Linked DNA regions of Sus scrofa. The protein of the gene in region 3 purifies or fractionates together with the protein of the main gene of each other region. This does not show direct contact. Links are inferred from orthologs where the notes say so. Each region holds a gene or a part of one and is shown on either strand. Other genes may lie near its edges.

Evidence for each region.
Region 1: the proteins of ARRB2 (region 3) and IGF1R purify together in Homo sapiens (affinity purification with western blotting; 4 studies listed by BioGRID). This does not show direct contact. The link is inferred for Sus scrofa from reciprocal best matches to the Homo sapiens genes ARRB2 and IGF1R.
Region 2: the proteins of ARRB2 (region 3) and MAPK1 purify together in Homo sapiens (affinity purification with western blotting; 3 studies listed by BioGRID and IntAct, with this or other methods). This does not show direct contact. The link is inferred for Sus scrofa from reciprocal best matches to the Homo sapiens genes ARRB2 and MAPK1.

Annotation. Positions count from the first base shown.
Region 1 is NC_010443.5:137,406,654-137,412,559, reverse strand, and holds part of IGF1R (insulin-like growth factor 1 receptor precursor), read left to right. Parts: intron 1-2,729; coding exon 2,730-2,959; intron 2,960-3,173; coding exon 3,174-3,284; intron 3,285-5,334; coding exon 5,335-5,494; intron 5,495-5,906. UniProt on the Homo sapiens protein: Receptor tyrosine kinase which mediates actions of insulin-like growth factor 1 (IGF1). Binds IGF1 with high affinity and IGF2 and insulin (INS) with a lower affinity. The activated IGF1R is involved in cell growth and survival control.
Region 2 is NC_010456.5:50,136,953-50,142,858, reverse strand, and holds part of MAPK1 (mitogen-activated protein kinase 1), read right to left. Parts: intron 2,927-5,906; coding exon 2,744-2,926; intron 1,226-2,743; coding exon 1,036-1,225; intron 1-1,035. UniProt on the Homo sapiens protein: Serine/threonine kinase which acts as an essential component of the MAP kinase signal transduction pathway. MAPK1/ERK2 and MAPK3/ERK1 are the 2 MAPKs which play an important role in the MAPK/ERK cascade.
Region 3 is NC_010454.4:52,160,147-52,165,596, reverse strand, and holds the end of ARRB2 (beta-arrestin-2), read left to right. Parts: intron 1-103; coding exon 104-163; intron 164-536; coding exon 537-604; intron 605-741; coding exon 742-877; intron 878-1,073; coding exon 1,074-1,483; intron 1,484-1,763; coding exon 1,764-1,901; intron 1,902-2,587; coding exon 2,588-2,671; intron 2,672-2,749; coding exon 2,750-2,829; intron 2,830-2,906; coding exon of another isoform or gene 2,907-2,942; coding exon 2,943-2,997; intron 2,998-3,266; coding exon 3,267-3,360; 3' UTR 3,361-3,821; downstream 3,822-5,450. UniProt on the Homo sapiens protein: Functions in regulating agonist-mediated G-protein coupled receptor (GPCR) signaling by mediating both receptor desensitization and resensitization processes.

The sequences.
Region 1 (5,906 bases), on a different chromosome or scaffold from region 3:
AAGGTGAGGAGTCATCACACACTTAACGGAATTAATAGGGGAAATGCAAGGCCGCTCCCCTCCTCTGTCAGTGTGGAGTGAGACTACTTCAGAGATGCTGCTCGACTTCAAAATAAAGCAGAGAAGATAGGCATTTGTGGCTTTGACTCTGCAGTACCAGAAAGTTTTTAGAGAGAACTAATACAATCCTATCAGACTCTGAGGACAGTTTTTTGTTTTTGTTTTTGTTTTTTTTGCTATTTCTTTGGGCCGCTCCCGCAGCATATGGAGGTTCCCAGGCTAGGGGTCGAATTGGAGCTGTAGCCGCCGGCCTACGCCAGAGCCACAGCAACACATGATCTGAGCCACGTCTGCAACCTACACCACAGCTCACGGTAACGCCGGATCGTTAACCCACTGAGCAAGGGCAGGGACCGAACCCGCAACCTCATGGTTCCTAGTCGGATTCGTTAACCACTGCGCCACGACGGGAACTCCTCTGATGGCAGTTTGAATTCAAATTTTGTGTTTTTCCAGAATGTTTTCATAATATGCCTTAAATTTTTTTTTTTTTTTTTTTTTTTTTTTGTCTTTTTAGGACCGCAACCTGCAGCATATGGAGGTTCCCAGGATAGGGGTCCAATGGGAGCTATAGCTGCCGGCCTACACCGCAGCCACAGCAACTCGGGATCTGAGCTGCATCTGCGACCCACACCACAGCTCACGGCAACACAGGATCCTTAACCCACTGGGCAAGGCCAGGGATCAAACCTGCAAACTCGTGGTTCCTAGTCGGACTCGTTAACCACTGAGCCACAATGGGAATTCCAATAATTGTCTTAATTCTTTAAAAACAAAACAAAGAAGCAAAACCCAGGTCAACAGGTAGAAACACTATCACCTTATTTAACTTACTCTGTTCCGGCCTCCTGACAAGCATCTTAGAGCTAGTTTCCTCAAGGGTCAACAAAATGACATTGCAGTTCAGAAATGCTTTAAAAACTTTTCTCTCCAAAAGCTAATCTGCATGTCACCATTCTCCAGAGTGCACTGAAAATCCCCTACAGGGGAAAGCTGATAACATTGTGCGCATAAAACCTCTGCTGGCTGGCAGGGCTTAGGACTGCTGGCTGAAGCCAGGAGTTTCGGGGGTGGACTGCAGAGAAAGGATTGCCAGGATTGACTTCAGCCACCTCCTAAGGAGGAAATGTGTTTGGTTTTAACTCCATGTTTCATGGTGGCTACATAGTTAATTCTGATTAAAAGCAAGCCTGGATTTTCAGAGATAAATGGATATAGACAGCCTCTTTTTATACCTTCTGAGGGGGGGTTGGGAAGAGTGTAACCACTGGGTTGTCTTTCATACTTTCCCTCCTAAGCAGGCAGTAGCTTCCTCTCGGGGGCCACATGGATGGTGCGATCCTTCTGGGCAACTCTTGAACACACAGATATGTGCTATAATATACAAAAATGTATGCGAAAGAAGATTCTAGACTGATTAATATAGTCCATATTGGACACTCATTAGATGTGTAAATTGGTTGTATCTCCTGAGTTACAGACATCTTTCTTTTAAGACATCATTTAAAGGTACATACCTGGGACTTGGGGTTGTCGGAATATGGTTGTCAATCCCCTGCTTCTCTTACATCCACCTCAGGCTCAAGGTTAATATCTGAAAGCGTAACAGCAAACACAGATGCCATTCCAGGTTCCCAGTCCTTCTGCATTTCTGAGCCAGGACCAGCACTTTCCTACCAGCGGAGCCTGGTGGGAGTTCCCCTCTCAGGCAAGGACGAAAGCACAGAGCATTGGAAGAATGGGATTAGGATTAACATTTCTTATGGCGCTATAGACCAGGTTGATCTCATGTTAGTTCTCAGCCTACCCATCAGAGTTGTAGGATGGGTCCACTGTTTTGTTTTGTCTTTCGTTCCTCCCTCCTTCCTTTCCCTCTTTCTTTGTCCTTCTTTCCTGCACAGAATTATTCATTTATGTTCTTAAAACAAATTGCGTCTGACCAGAAGCATAGGCTGGAGAGGAAATCTTACCAGGCTTAATCATTATGAAGCCCCCCCACCCAGCCCATCACCCCAGTGGTGGGAGGTCCCTGGGTTCACAGAGCCCTGCCCCTCTGAGATGGTCACACTAACTGCCTTCCCCCACAACCTGGTGCTGGAGATCAGTTGCTTTCATATCTCATTCCACCCCCAGTGTCTCTGGCAAAGCCAGGGAAACTGTCTAGACCAGAGCAATGCTACCAGGGGAAATATAATGCCAGTCCCATAAGAAACCGCAATTGTTTCTAGTAGCCACATACAAAGTATGAAAAAGAAATGGGTGAAATAAATGTTGAGAACATTTTATTTAACTCAGTATATCCAAAGTACTATCAGTTTTAATATACAGCCGGTATAAAAATTACTGGAGTATTTATATTATTTTTGATACTAAGTCTTTGAAATCCAGCATCAAGTTTTATACTTAGAGCAACATCTCAAATTGGATGACCTCCTGGCTCTTCTGTGCTGTTGGTATCTTTGAATTACCTAGGAATCCTTGAAGACTTGAAATTCTAGTATTTAACTGAACAGTAGCCATGCAGAAACCAAGCCCATGGGAGACTCCAGAACAGACTGTGTCGCCATATCCTGACCTTCTTCCCTATGGGCTGTAGGAAGGGGCCTCTTGCTCCATGGCCGGGAGTTTCCCCAGAGCACCCCCAGCTCAGCTCTGGCCTCTCTCCCCAGTGTACGTGCCCGACGAGTGGGAGGTCGCCCGGGAGAAGATCACCATGAGCCGGGAGCTGGGACAGGGCTCCTTCGGGATGGTTTATGAAGGCGTCGCCAAGGGTGTGGTCAAAGATGAGCCTGAGACCAGGGTGGCCATTAAGACAGTGAATGAGGCCGCCAGCATGCGTGAGAGGATTGAGTTTCTCAACGAGGCCTCCGTGATGAAGGAGTTCAACTGTCACCACGTGGTGAGGGAAGGGCCCCAAGGGTTGGGGCCACCCTTATGGGTTTGCGACTCATCCTGTCTCTGTAGGATCCCTCTCACTGCTCAAGAAGGTTGGGGGGGATGTGCAGGTCCAGGGAGTCTGGTGCCACATCATCCAGGGTTGCTCAGGGTGGTCCTGGTGGGGTTGGGGGGCTGCGGGGGCTCACCCCCTGTCTCCTTCTCTTTCCCCCTCACAGGTGCGGCTGCTGGGTGTGGTGTCCCAGGGCCAGCCAACGCTGGTCATCATGGAACTGATGACCCGGGGGGACCTCAAAAGTTATCTCCGGTCTCTGAGACCAGAAATGGAGGTCAGTTTCAATGTTCACCGAAACGCCATGCTATCTGTTCCCTTTCCTCTAGAACCTTCCCCCAGGAGGTACTGTGTCTTTAAATCCATGCACTTTTCTTGCCATGTGCTTGGTCCTGGGTCCTTTAGAAGAGCGTGTTCCTTGACTAGAGAGAGACCTGTTTCACGCGCCTGTTCACACATGGCTTCCTTCATCCGCAGCAGATGATCTGCGTGGTGCTGAGGGTGGTCACGAGGCCAAGTGTGGACTGAGGCCCTGGGCAGAGTGGTCTATGACATGCCCACCCTCCGCTCTGCCCAGCGTGGGTCCCCAACTCCCCTGACTCTTAGTGCCTTTGCCCAGCTCACTGTGTTATACATAAGATAGCAGGAAGGAGAAAGCGTCATCATATGGGTTACTGGAGATGTGGCAGATACATTCAGGGCACCTCTGAAAAGTCTGAAACACTCAATTCCTTCATCCCCAGTCTTAGGTGCAGAATAAAAAATGTGCAACATGCTGGCTGTCTGCATGGAGTGGCTGCTTCAGGCCTCTGGGCCTCCGTTTCCTTATGTGCAAAATAAGAGGGTTAAACAAGATGACTACCAAAGTCCTTTTCAGACCAGAAATTCACTTTTAGATTTGTCACATTTAAAGTTGTTCTTTTTGGGAATTCCCACTTTGGCTCAGCAGTAACGAACCCGACTAGTATCCATGAGGATGTGGGTTCAATCCCTGGCCTCACTCAGTGAGTTAAGGATACGGCATTGCTGTGAGCTGTGGTGTAGGCCAGCAGCTACAGCTCCTGTTCGACCCCTAGCCTGGGAACTTCCATATGCCACGGGTGCAGCCCTAAAAAGAAAAAAAATCACCACAGATAGTCCTCGTAGCCTCTTCAGAAGTCAAATATATGGTCAAATATAGGGTTACACTGCTTCTCGAAGCCAGCTCTCTGCAGAAGCTAGTTCCTGACTGGGCAAAGCCACCATCCTCTGTGCATGGACCCTGGCCAGACACAGGCATGGCCCCAGGTCTTCATCCAGGCAGTGAACCAGCCTTGATTCCTGTGGGAAAGCGCCCAAGAGGAGCTTAGGCGTGCTCTCCCTGTGGCCCAGGGTTTGAGCTGGGAAGGGGACACGTGGGACCTGTCAGAGTAGGATGGCTTTGCCCCACTGTAAGAGCTCTCTGCAATCAGGGGAACCAGCTCAAGTTGGTTGCACTTATACAAGCACGTGGTGGTCAGCATTGAAACTGGGGTGCTGGTTGGTTTCTGCATTTTCAATTTTTTCGGTGGAGAGACTTAGGCACACCTTTTATATGAAACTCTTTTCTAAATGGATTTATTATTTGGGGATATTTCTCTTCAGTTCCAAAGCCAGTATGTTGCCCTCCTCTGCAAAGAGGAACCGTTTATTCCTGTTACTTGTCACTGTTGGATGTGGGGCTCTCCAGAATAAGCTTCTGCTGGACTTAAGTGAACTGTCAAGGGCTTGCTTTCCTCAGCACCCACGGAAAATAATAAGCCAAGGAATACCCCTCTGTAAAGTGAAAAAAAATAATCTCGATGTTTTTGTACTTCAGAAGAAAGTCGAGAAAGAAAAGGATTAAATAGTTTATAACAAAGCTTACGTGGGAAATAACTCGCCCAGGGTCCATTTGGCAAAGTCGTTTGCTTATTTCCACACGGTCTCTGTAATGTCCTTTCCCTCCTTTTCCCTGTAAAGACTTTGTAGAAATAAAAGGAACATACAGACTAATTGGAATTTGAGTATCTAGAATTCTTAACATCCAGAATTGCTTGTTTCACTTTGAATGATGTTTGCCACACCCAAAATAGAAAATGCTGGTCCCAAGTTGTGCTCATGGGTGCTTCTCTCTGCAGCTCTGTGTGACATGGTCAGAGGGCAAGTGCCGTGGCCTCCATGGCAGTACAGTCCTTCTGAGCCAGTCCAGGTTTCTTAGCAGTTGACCTGTGGTCTCAGATTGGACAAAGATGCAAACCCGGAAAGAATGCAGGGTGAGAAAAATTCCTAAAGTCTTATTGAATTTTTTTTTTCTTCATCTCCAACAGAATAATCCAGTCCTAGCACCTCCAAGCCTAAGCAAAATGATCCAGATGGCTGGAGAGATTGCAGATGGCATGGCATACCTCAACGCCAATAAGTTTGTCCACAGAGACCTCGCTGCCCGGAACTGTATGGTGGCCGAAGACTTCACAGTCAAAATCGGAGGTGAGCCCTTAACTTGCCAGGTCTGAGCCAGAACTAAACTCAGCATGTTTTTTAGGGACCAAGCAGGCATCGGCCTGCCTGTGGAGAGGTTTTCCAGAGCATCCTATGGATGCAGAGTCTTGTGCTTGGGAATCATGTGATTGTCTCCATTTGACAGTCAACTGCACACCTGGCCAGGCCAGGCCAGCTCTAATCCTGAGCAGGTGGGCACGGCAGTCCAGGTAGTGGGCAAGAGGGGCTGAGGCAGTGGTCCCTGAGGTCTCCTCAACTGACATTTGAGGCTTTTTTTTCCTCATTTTTAAAGTTTTATTGAAGTATAGTCGATTTACAATGTTGTGATAATTTCTGATGTATAAAAAAGTGATTCAGTGATACACGTACACACCTCCATTCTCCTTCAGATTCTTTTCCC
Region 2 (5,906 bases), on a different chromosome or scaffold from region 3:
TTCCTTAGTAATGTTCTTGGTGCTCTTCTCAAAAATTTGTTAATTGGGGAAAAAAAAAAAAAAAAAAAAAAAAAAGGAGCCTCTGTTGTGGTGCAGCAGAAATGAATCTGACAGTATCGGTGAGGGTGTAGGGTTCAAACCCTGGCTTCGATCAGTGGGTTGGGGATCTGGTGTTGCTGTGAATTGTAGTGTAGGTCACAGACACAGCTTGGATCACGCATTGCTGTGGCTGCGGAGTAGGCCAGCAGCTGTAGCTCCAATCTGACCCTTTAGCCTGGGCACTTCCACATGTCATGGGTTTGGCCCTTAAAAAAAAAAAAAAAGTCAGTTAATCAAGAAGTTCCCACTGTGGTGCAACAGGATCAGTAGCATGTTGGGAGAGCTGGGACACAAGTTCAATCCCTGGCCCAGCACAGTGGGTTAAGGATCTGTTGCTGCTGCAGCTTTGGCTTACGTCATAACTAAGGCTTGGATCTGATCCCTGGCCGGGAAGCTCCATATGTCACAGAGTGGCCCAAAAAAAAAAAAGTCAGTTACTCATAAACATATGGGTTTATTTACTGACTCGGAGTTCTATTCCAGTGATCTATATGCCTACTCTTGATTGCCGCAGCTTGGTAGTAAGTTCTGAAATCAGAAAGTGTGAGTCCTATAACTCTGCCCTTTCATAAAATTGTCTTAGCTACTCTGGGTCTCTTGAATTTCTATTGCACTTCAGGATCAGCCTGTCCATTTTTGCAAAAGAAGCCACCTGGGGCTTTGATAGGGATTCCACTACATCAGTAGATCAAATTTGAAAACACTGCCATCTTAACAATATTAAGTCTTCCAATCCATGAACATGGAATGTCATTTCATTTATCTAGGTCCTCTTAAATTCAAGTGCATTTTTATTAGAATGAATCTACATTCTTTCATGATATCTGTGGCCCTGAAAAGAAAAATAAAATAAAAAATTATATATAAATAAACATTCTCCAGCAAAACGAGTTTTGTCCAATAAATATCACCCTAAGAGTAAATAAGCTGGCTGACCTTGAGATCGCAGGTGGTGTTGAGCAGCAGGTTGGAAGGTTTGAGGTCACGGTGCAGTACGTTAGCTGAATGGATATATTTTAACCCTCTGAGGATCTGGTAAAGAAAATAGCAGATATGGTCGTTGCTGAGGTGCTGCGTCTTCAAGAGCTTGTAGAGATCTGTTTCCATGAGGTCCTGTACTATGTATCTGTTTGGAAAGATTAAGGTAACACAACCAAAAGAGCTAGTTACACTAGCAAAGCACTGAAAACAGAAAGAATCCAAATGGTCCATTATTACATCATGAGGCCCAGAAGGGAAATGAGAAACTGATGGAAACTGAGTAGAGCTTAATGGAAGGAGTCCTGAGTAGCTGCTTCCTCCTGAGGTTCTGTGAAGTCTTCCTGCATTTCTTTTATTCATTTCTCTGTAAATACTATACGTCTCCTAGAGATTCATGCTAGATGAGACACAGTATGGGATTTGAAGAAACATGACTTAAAAACTAGTCATCTAAAAAAGACCTGATTTTCAAGGCAAAAGGTAAAGCAGGACAACAGGCGGCAGAAGGAGGCATTTCACTTAAAATATCACAACTTAGTAACAGAACTGTTTAAAAATGGAAAGACTGCCTAGAGACAGCGCACTGCCTCTCCCTGGAGGGGCGGACTGCACAGTGGGCAAGCTGGCAGGAATGCTGCACTGGCCAGAACCCTTTCTCCTGGCAGATCCTCCTCCAGCACACTTAACACTTCTTCTTTTTTTTTTTTTTTTTTTGTCTTTTTGCCTTTTCTTGAGCCGCTCCCGTGGCATATGGAGGTTCCCATGCTGGGGTCTAATCAGAGCTGGTGCTGCTAGCCTACGCCAGAGCCACAGCAATGCGGGATTCGAGCCACATCTGCGACCCACACCACAGCTCATGGCAACACCAGATCCTTAACCCACTGAACCTCATGGTTCCTAGTTGGATTCATTAACCACTGTGCCACGATGGGAACTCCGAGCACACTTAACACTTCTATCTTTCACATGCAGTCCTTACTCAGAAAGTATCCTCTGGACCTCCTGAGTCCAGATTTCTAAACGTTTGTCACAATTAATGACAACTTCAGACCTGAGATAGCCTTGAAGATCATGAAGGCTGTACCTCAGTTTTAACATGAGAAAACTGGACCCAGAAGTAAAATGACACTGAGATCAGGACAATCTCGACCTGACCAGGTGCTATACAGGGCCCCTTCTTTTAGTCTACTGCTCTTTCACCACAACAAACCATACCTTGAAAAGAAGTATCATGACTGGAAAAGGTGTTAACCAACATTTTCCATAACTACACTTAGAGAAATCTTTACTGAAACTGAGAAAATATAGAATAAACAGCAAAAAATATGCTAAAGCTACTAATAAAATGAATCAGAGAAAAAAAGTAAATGATGTGGGAGTTCTCTTGTGGTTCAGAGGGCTAAGGACCCAGCTTTGTCACTGCTGCAACTTGGATTGCTGCTTGGCATGGGTTTGATCCCTGACCCAGGAACTTCCACATGCTGTGGAAGAAGCAAGGAAAAAAAAAAAAGTAAATGATGCAAGTGTTATAGTAAGTGGCAAGCAGAGCAGAGTTTCCCCTTAAACATGTTTGACTACTTTTCTTCCACCACGATAAGTGGAAGACTTGATGTGTACTCAACCAGGTGATGGAGCAGTGGAGTCCACAGCCTGAAAAGGATACACATCTTTCATCTGCTCGATGGTTGGTGCTCGAATGATATCATTGATTCCAATGATGTTCTCGTGTCTAAAGCGCAGTAAGATTTTTATCTCCCTCAGGGTTCTCTGGCAGTAGGTCTGATGCTCAAATGGACTGATTTTCTTGATAGCTACTCGAACTTTGTTGACATTATCATAAGCAGAGCTGAAAAAGAGGGGAGATGGCATTAAAAACAGTTCTCAGAACACCCTGGCAGAAAGAACACAAAGTGAAGTATTCTGCTTAGAACTCTGGGCAAATACTTGTTTCACATGCATGAAGGCAGAATGCATATCACCCACAAAGAGGCCCTAAGTGAGGGAGGACATAGCAGGATGCCACAGTACACACTATGTATCTCAGAACCACCAGAGGGCCTGGCCCTGGAAACTGTATGGACACCAAATTTCTTTCTTTCTTTGGCCATACCTGCAGCATGCGCAAGTTGCTGGGCCAGGGACTGAACCTGCCACAGCTGTGACCAGAGCCACTGCAGTGACAACAGATCCTTAACCCACTGAGCCACCAGGTAACTCCTGGTTGCCCATTTTCAAAACCCCAGGAATATGGGTGGATTCCCCCCCCCCATTTTTCCCACTGTTTTTAACAGCAGCTGCATTCCGGTGAGAGGAATCGTTTCTGCCTCCATAACAGCTTCCTACTACTGTATCAGATTCCACTGACTCAGCAGAAATATTCCAATGACCATCAACTACATCTTCACCCCTAACAAAAATGGACCCAAGAGGGCAACAGGGATCTACTGCATAGCACAGGGAATTATAGCCATTATCTTGGAAAACTTTTAACAGAATATATAACCTATAAAAATACTAAATCAGGAGTTCCCATCATGGCTCAGTGGAAATGAATGTGACTAGTATCCATGAGGACCCAGGTTCGATCCTGGCCTCTCTCAGTGGATTAAGGATCCAGCATTGATGTGAGTATGGTGTAGGTGTAGGTCATAGACACAGCCTGGATCTGGCATTGCTATGGCTGTTGCACAGGCCAGCGACCCCTTGCCCGGAAACCTCCATATGCCATGGGTTCAACCCTAAAAAGACGAAGACAAACACCCCCCGCCCCATCATTATTCTGTACACCAAAAACTAAGTACTATTTAGTCAACTATATTTTAATGAAAAGGGGGATTGTTCCCTGGTGGTACAGTGGGGTTAAGGATCTGGCATGGTCACTACTGTGGCTCAGGTTTTGTTTTTGTTTTTCGTTTTTTTTTGTCTTTTTGCCTTTTCTAGGGCTGCTCCCATGGCATATGGAGGTTCCCAGGCTAGGGGTCGAATCGGAGCCGTAGCTACCAGCCTACACCAGAGCCACAGCAACACAGGATCCGAGCCGCGTCTGCAACCTATACCACAGCTCACGGCAATGCCAGATCCTTAACCCACTGAGCAAGGCCAGGGATCGAACCCGAAACCTTATGGTTCCTAGTCGGACTCGTTAATCACTGCTCCACGACGGGAACTCCCTGTGCGCAGGTTTGATCCCTGGCCCCAGAACTTCCACATGCCGTGAGCGAGGCCACCCTCTCCAAAAAGAAAGGGGACCCAAGAGGACATATTGATTGCTTACAGCAATTTTGTCTTACCTGCAAAATGATGTTGTCTTACCAACCCCCACCCCCAGAAATTTTATCAAGATGTCTATGTGGTCTTTAACAAAACCTAGAAAGTATTGTTCAAAAAATACCTTCATATTGGGGAGTTCCCATCGTGGCTCAGCAGTAACAAACCCAACTAGTATCCATAAGGACACAGGTTTGATCCCTGGCCTCATTCAGCGGGTTAAGGATTTGGCACTGCCGTGAGTTGTAATGTAGGTTGCAGACACAGCTCGGATCCCTCATTGCTGTGGCTGTGGTGTACACTGGTTCGACCCCTAGCCTGGGAACCTCCATACGACATGAGCGTGGCCCTAAAAAGACTAAAAAAACAAAAACAAAAACACCTTCATAACTATAACATAGGGCTCAGTTCTCTCCCAAGTTGTCCTGAAGTTCTGACTTAACAGAATTTCAAGCAGAAGCAATAATATCTTCAATTTTATAATGAATTTGTATCATGAACAGTACTACTATCTTTACGATCAATATTCTACAAATCTTTTCTGTAAGAGCTTTTAATATTAACAAATACCAACATCTGGTTCATCAATCAAAGCAATGCAACACAAACAGGCAGTAACATACTACTTCTGGCTTCCTCAGGGTGCTAAAAATGGAAATAAATAAGTTTATTCTCAAGTTTGTGCTTTTAGAATACTTATCAATCTACTTATTCTGATAATTACTAATGTATCTGTCTATCATAAAACCATGCCATATCAGAGACCTTGCCTAACTCAGCTTTAATTTTCCCACAACACCATTAATAATCTGCACTCAATACTCTGAAATGAAGTCTATTTCCTTAAATAAAAGAATCACTACTCAAATCTTATTTTGCTTTGGTTTGCTACACGAAAGCCTAAATCACTGATTTTTAGGTAGACAGGCAAAGGTATATGTTGTTCAAGCAAGCTTATTCAATATAGGGAATATTTATTTCTAAGTATTTATGTATTTTTTATTTTTTTTTCTTTATTGTCTTTTTTGTCCTTTTAGGGCTGTACCCTGCGGCATATGGAGGTTCCCAGGCTACAAGCCTATGCCAGAGCCACAGCAACACCAGAGCCAAGCCACATCTGCGACCTATACCACAGCTCACAGCAACGCTGGATCCTTAACCCACTGAGCGAGGCCAGGGATCGAACCTGCAACCTCATGGTTCCTAGTCGGATTCCTTTCTGCTGCACCACGAAGGGAACTCCTATATATTAAAAAAAATTTTTTTTTTTCTTTTCAGGGCTGCATCCACAGCATATGGAAGTTCCCAGGACAGGGGTCAAATTGGAGCTGCAAATGCCAGCCTATGCCATAGCAACACTGGATCTGAGCCACATACACCACAGCCTGTGGCAATGCTGGATTCTTAACCCACTGAGCAGAGGCCAGGGATCAAACTTGCATTCTCATGAGCACTATGTCAGATTCTTAACCTGCTGAGCCACAACGGAAACTCCTATACTTATGTATATTACTAAAGTAAAAAATTTTGATAATTCAAATTATAAAAATTGAACAAAA
Region 3 (5,450 bases):
CTCATCCCCAGGGGTCCTTCTCCAGCCTCTTAAGTTGAGATTGGGAGGAAGATTTCGGGGGGCTTTCGGGAAGGACTGAAGCCTCTCCTTTCCTCCGCCACAGATACCCCAGAACCTGCCCTGCTCCGTCACCCTGCAGCCAGGCCCAGAGGACACAGGGAAGGTACGGGAGGAACAGGGTCCTAGGGGCACACTTGGGGGGGGATGGGCCCTGAGAAGTCCAGGTGGGGCTAAGGGTAGGAAAATGTCCCTGGGAGCAGTGGGCACGTGCAAGGAATGGTCACTGCGCATGTGGGACACTGCCTCCTGCTCATGACCTGCACACAGCGGCGTATGGGGGCTCGCCTCGCACAGCCAGGTCCGACCTCTGCCGGGTGCCGGGCCTCGCGGAGACAGAGGAGGAAGACCTGGGCCCTGCACGCCTCAGAGCATGATGGGGCAAGAGTGGCTGCCCAAGACGAAGGCAGCGGGAAGGAAGGGAGTGGTGGTGGCGGCAGGGGCTTGTGTAAGATGTGACCTTTTCTCCCCCTCTCAAGGCCTGCGGGGTGGACTTTGAGATTCGAGCCTTCTGTGCCAAATCGGTAGAAGAGAAAAGCCACAAAAGGTGAGGAAAGCACCCCCCCCCTTGGGTCTGACCATAACCTCCCAGCTCCCAGGCCTGGTTGGAGGTGAGAAGTGAGGGGTGAGAACTCGGCCACGGCCACGTCTGGAGTCTGTCTGACCCCTCCTCCCTGCCCCCAGGAACTCTGTGCGGCTGGTGATCCGAAAGGTGCAGTTTGCCCCCGAGAAACCCGGCCCCCAGCCTTCAGCTGAAACCACACGCCACTTCCTCATGTCTGACCGGTCCCTGCACCTCGAGGCGTCCCTGGACAAGGAGGTGGGGGGGGCGACAGGGTGCTGCAGTGCAGGCCAGACCCTGGGGAGGGGCGCTTCTAAAGGAGGCTGCCTTCCTTGCAGGGGTGGGCTTGGCTTTAGATGGAGGAGGCCCAGCACTGGGTGTGTGTTTGCGGGAGGTGGGGGCGCAGTAATAACAGGACCAGTGAAGAGACATCAATTAACTTTCCCCCCAAAAGCTGTACTACCATGGGGAGCCCCTCAATGTCAACGTCCACGTCACCAACAACTCCACCAAGACTGTCAAGAAGATCAAAGTCTCTGGTAGGAGGTGGGGGTTGGAAAATTGCCTGAAGGGAGGGAGTTTCAGCCACAGGACATACCCCAGGGCTGGAGACCCCGGGGGGCTCAAGGAATGCAGGCTGTCCCAGGATGGGGGGGTGGGGGGCACATGTCCTCAGGCAGGGATGCTAAAGGGCCAGGACCTGGGGTCCTTGCGGGGGGGGGGGGCGCGGGCTGGAGTTGGGTGGGCTGCTGTCTACACTCCATGCAGAGCTGCTTGGCCCCGCCCCACAGTGAGACAGTACGCGGACATCTGCCTCTTCAGCACGGCCCAGTACAAGTGCCCCGTGGCTCAGCTCGAACAAGAGTGAGTAGCAGAAGAGCCCTGGGTCCCCCTGGTCAGGGGGGAAGAGGGGCCCCGGAGTGTGAGGAAGGCGGGAGTCCTTCCCCGCTGTCTCCGCTTCCAAGCACATTCCCTCCCGTTGGGGGCTCTGAGCCGCTCATGTTCTGGAGCGGGTTGAGCCCGTGACCCAAGGCCAAAGGGAGAAGGGGCCGGTGATGGGGCAGAAGCCGCTTGGGGGTGGGAGCCACCCCCTCCGCCCGCCTGGCCCTTCCCAGAGTTTCCTTCTCGTGTCCCCCTGCCCCAGTGACCAGGTGTCGCCCAGTTCCACGTTCTGTAAGGTGTACACCATAACCCCCCTGCTCAGCAACAACCGAGAGAAGCGCGGTCTCGCCCTGGACGGGAAGCTCAAGCATGAGGACACCAACCTGGCGTCCAGCACCATGTGAGGGGACGAGGGGGTGGGGGTGGGGGGTCCTACAGCACAGGAGACACTCATTCCGTGCCAGCCGTGTGCCAGGCTCTGTCCCCGGGGCCACGGCCCCATCAGGGAGCAGAACAGACCCAAAAGATCTCTTACGTTCTCAGGGAGGAGGCCAGGCAAACCAGATAAATGGCAAAATATACAGCATGTTTAGTGCCAGCTGTTGAGAAAAAGGCAGGCAGAGAAGGGAGGTATCAAGGGGGGGGTGACTTTACAGAGGGTGGCCAGAAAAGGCAAAATCCAGAGGCGACTTGGAGTAAGGACACAAAGGCAGCAGGGCTGCAGAGGTGTCAGGCGAGAGGGCCCCTGTCTTTGGAGCAGGTACAGCTGCACAGAGTGGGGGCGGATTTCACCCCCGGGCCCTGCGCCCTGTGCCTGACCACACACGGCAGGCCAGCGTGGGAGCAGGAGGTGCGGTCAGAGGGCTGAGGGAAAGCAGGTCAGTGCAGGGCTGATGGGTCCCAAGGACGTGGGCTGTGACCGAGAGAGCGAGACGAAGATGGATGGGGTACGTTACACGGCAACAGCCCGTGCTGCTGGAGCCGGGGATTCCTGCTCAGAATCCCCGTGGAGGCCCCCAGGGTGGGCTAGGGTGCGAGGAGGCCGTGGGCTCTGGTCCAACTCCCCCCCCCGCCTCCCCCCCGCAGCGTGAAGGAGGGTGCCAACAAGGAGGTGCTGGGAATCCTCGTGTCCTACAGGGTCAAGGTGAAGCTGGTGGTGTCTCGAGGCGGGTGAGTGCTGCGGGTGGGAGCCTGGGGGTCGGGGGCTCTGCACGGGCCTCTCTTCATGCCGCCTCTCCCCCCCCTCAGAGATGTCTCCGTGGAGCTGCCTTTTGTTCTCATGCACCCCAAGCCCCAGGAGCACATCACCCTCCCCAGACCCCAGTCAGGTGAGCCTGCCACCCGCCCCAGCCCCCAGAGAGCGGGCCCGAAGCAGGGCCAGTGGAGACAAGGCGGGTCCTTTCAGCACCCACCCACCCCCCCTCCTTCCTTCTCCCCTCAGCTGCGCCAGAAACAGACGTCCCGGTGGACACCAACCTCATTGAATTTGATACCAAGTAAGACACGCCTCGGCCCCAGCTCTGACGCCCCTTGGTCGGAGATGCCTTACATTCACATCTACCCATTTTTTCCTCTTGTGGGGGGGGTGGTCGAAGCATCCAAGCGAGATGAGGCAGCCTTGCGAGCTGCCCATGGCCACCTCTTCCGGGTCCCTTCCTGCCAACACCTCCAGTCCCATTGCTGCTCTAACGCCTCTGTCTCTGGGGGGGTGGGGGTGGAGAAGAGGGTCAGGAGCCCTCGCCTCACCCCCTCCCTCCACACCAAGCTATGCCACGGACGACGACATCGTGTTCGAGGACTTTGCCCGGCTCCGGCTGAAGGGGATGAAGGACGAGGACGGCGAAGACCAGTTCTGCTAGGCGGCGGCGGCAGCGGGGGGCGGCTGGCAGAAGGGAGTGGATGGTGCTGGGAGAGGGAGGGGCAGGACCGAGACCCCGCTGGCACCGGGGGCTCCAGCCTCTCTTCCCCTGCCCTCCCCTCTCCCTGGGCGGCTGCCGCGACCAGCCCGCCTCCCCCTCCCCACCAGAGACGCACTGGACCCATCTCTTGGGGAACATGGGCATTAATCTTTCCACGACAGCTGGGCTTCCCCAACCCCGCAGCGGGTGGCACGCTGTGTTCATACCTAAGTTTTGTGGAGGGGCCACTGGAGAGGCGTGACAGCAGGGAAAGGGGGAGGACGAGCTCCCACATTCAACCTCACCCCGACACCCCTGCCTGTCACCACCTCTGCCTCCCATTCCTTCAGGATGAGACCCTCTGGGGGGCAAGGCCACTTTGTTTCTGAGGCTAAAGAAGAAAATAAACCTTTTAATAGGCACGCGCGTGTGTGTGTTTTCTACGGCACGTTTAAGGAGGACTTCGTGTGCTCGTCCACGACTGTCCATTGTGCCCCATCCCTTCTCTGTCCCCACATGTCACCAGGCCCCCAGGCTGTCAGTACACGTTTCCTGAATGGCTGAGCTGTACCTGAGTTCCACGGTAAACATGGAAACTTGATGTGGTCAGTCCAAACTCAAGGGCACAATGTGGTAAGCCACAAAGTAAACTCATTCATTCACAGAGGGAGTAATAGCTCACGTTCCTGCAGATGGGATGCTCTTGGGACTGGGCAGGGCAGGCCCTTCCCCGTCGCGGCTGACACACATGACTGCGTGGTGACTTGTGACCGAGTGTTTGTTTCCACTGCTCCTTCTGGTCGATCAAGCGGTCCATTCCTGGGGCTTGGTGGAACCGCAGCTGCGGGCCTCAGCGGCAGAAGCCACCTGGCAGACACCTCCCAGGAGCCTGGTCCTTAGACTGCACACAGAAGCCAAAGCTCTGGGCAGCCGAAGGCAGTGGTGCTGCTGTGGACAAGTCCAAGACACTACGTCCTACGCTGCTCCTCTAGTTCATCAGGGACTCCCAGAGGCTTGGCTGAAGCCCCAGACTGGGCTGGCAGGAGTCGAGCGCTACTCCGCTGGCACGCGCACCCCCACCACCGGCTCCACTCCTGCAGGGCACCCTCTCCCCTTTTCCTCCTAAGGCTCATTCATTCCCTCCATGAACAATCCTGATTTAAATCCCTATCATGTGCCAGGCGTAGTATAGGGATGGCAGTGACCAAAGCAAACATGAAGTCATAACACTATCGCTCCAAAACAGAAGGCCAGGAGCTAGGGGATTCTGACCCAGGCTGGAGGTGGTGACCGTCGGGCAGATGAGGAGTCCCGGCACCCCGGCAAGAGGAATAGCACGCGGGAAGGCAGCAAAGAACGGAGCACGTTTCAGACACCGAAAGAGGCCAGAGTGACTGGGACGCAGACAGCCGGAGGCAAAGCAGTTCCTGGTGAGGCATCTGGGGCAGCTCCTACAGGCCTTCTGTCTCTGTTACAGCCCATGACATCTAATTAAGTCACGATTTACCCACAGGCTTTAAATGCTGTCAAAATGTCAACGACCTCGCTCACCTCTCCACCCAGCAGCCTCCCCTGCAGGCCTTGGTCTTCACCATGTGGCGGGACCATCCTTGACCTCTGAGCTCCTGGCGCAGGGATCTCAAACTCTTCCAAGTGAATCAGAATCCTCTGGGGCACATGATAAAGACGCAAGGTCCCAGGTTTCCACCTTCCCCGATCCGATTCGGTAGGTCCAGGCAGAATCCATGACTCAGGATCTTGAATTAACACACACTTGAGAAACAATGCCTTCTTTCTTTTAGCTTTTCACACTTTTAATGTGTGGAAGAAAGTAAGATGTGCACACGGTTTTAAAAAAGAAAAAAATCCAGATCCGTGGCAGGTAACGAATGATAGAACATGAGGTGCGGGTTCGTCCTGCCTTGCCAGTGGGTTAAGATGGGCGGAGCGTGGGGTGCAGGCGGCCGGGGTGTGGCGGGGGTGGTCAGCTGATCAATACTGGAACTATGCGGGAGCAAAAAAAAAAAAAAAAAAAAAAAAAAAAAAAAAAA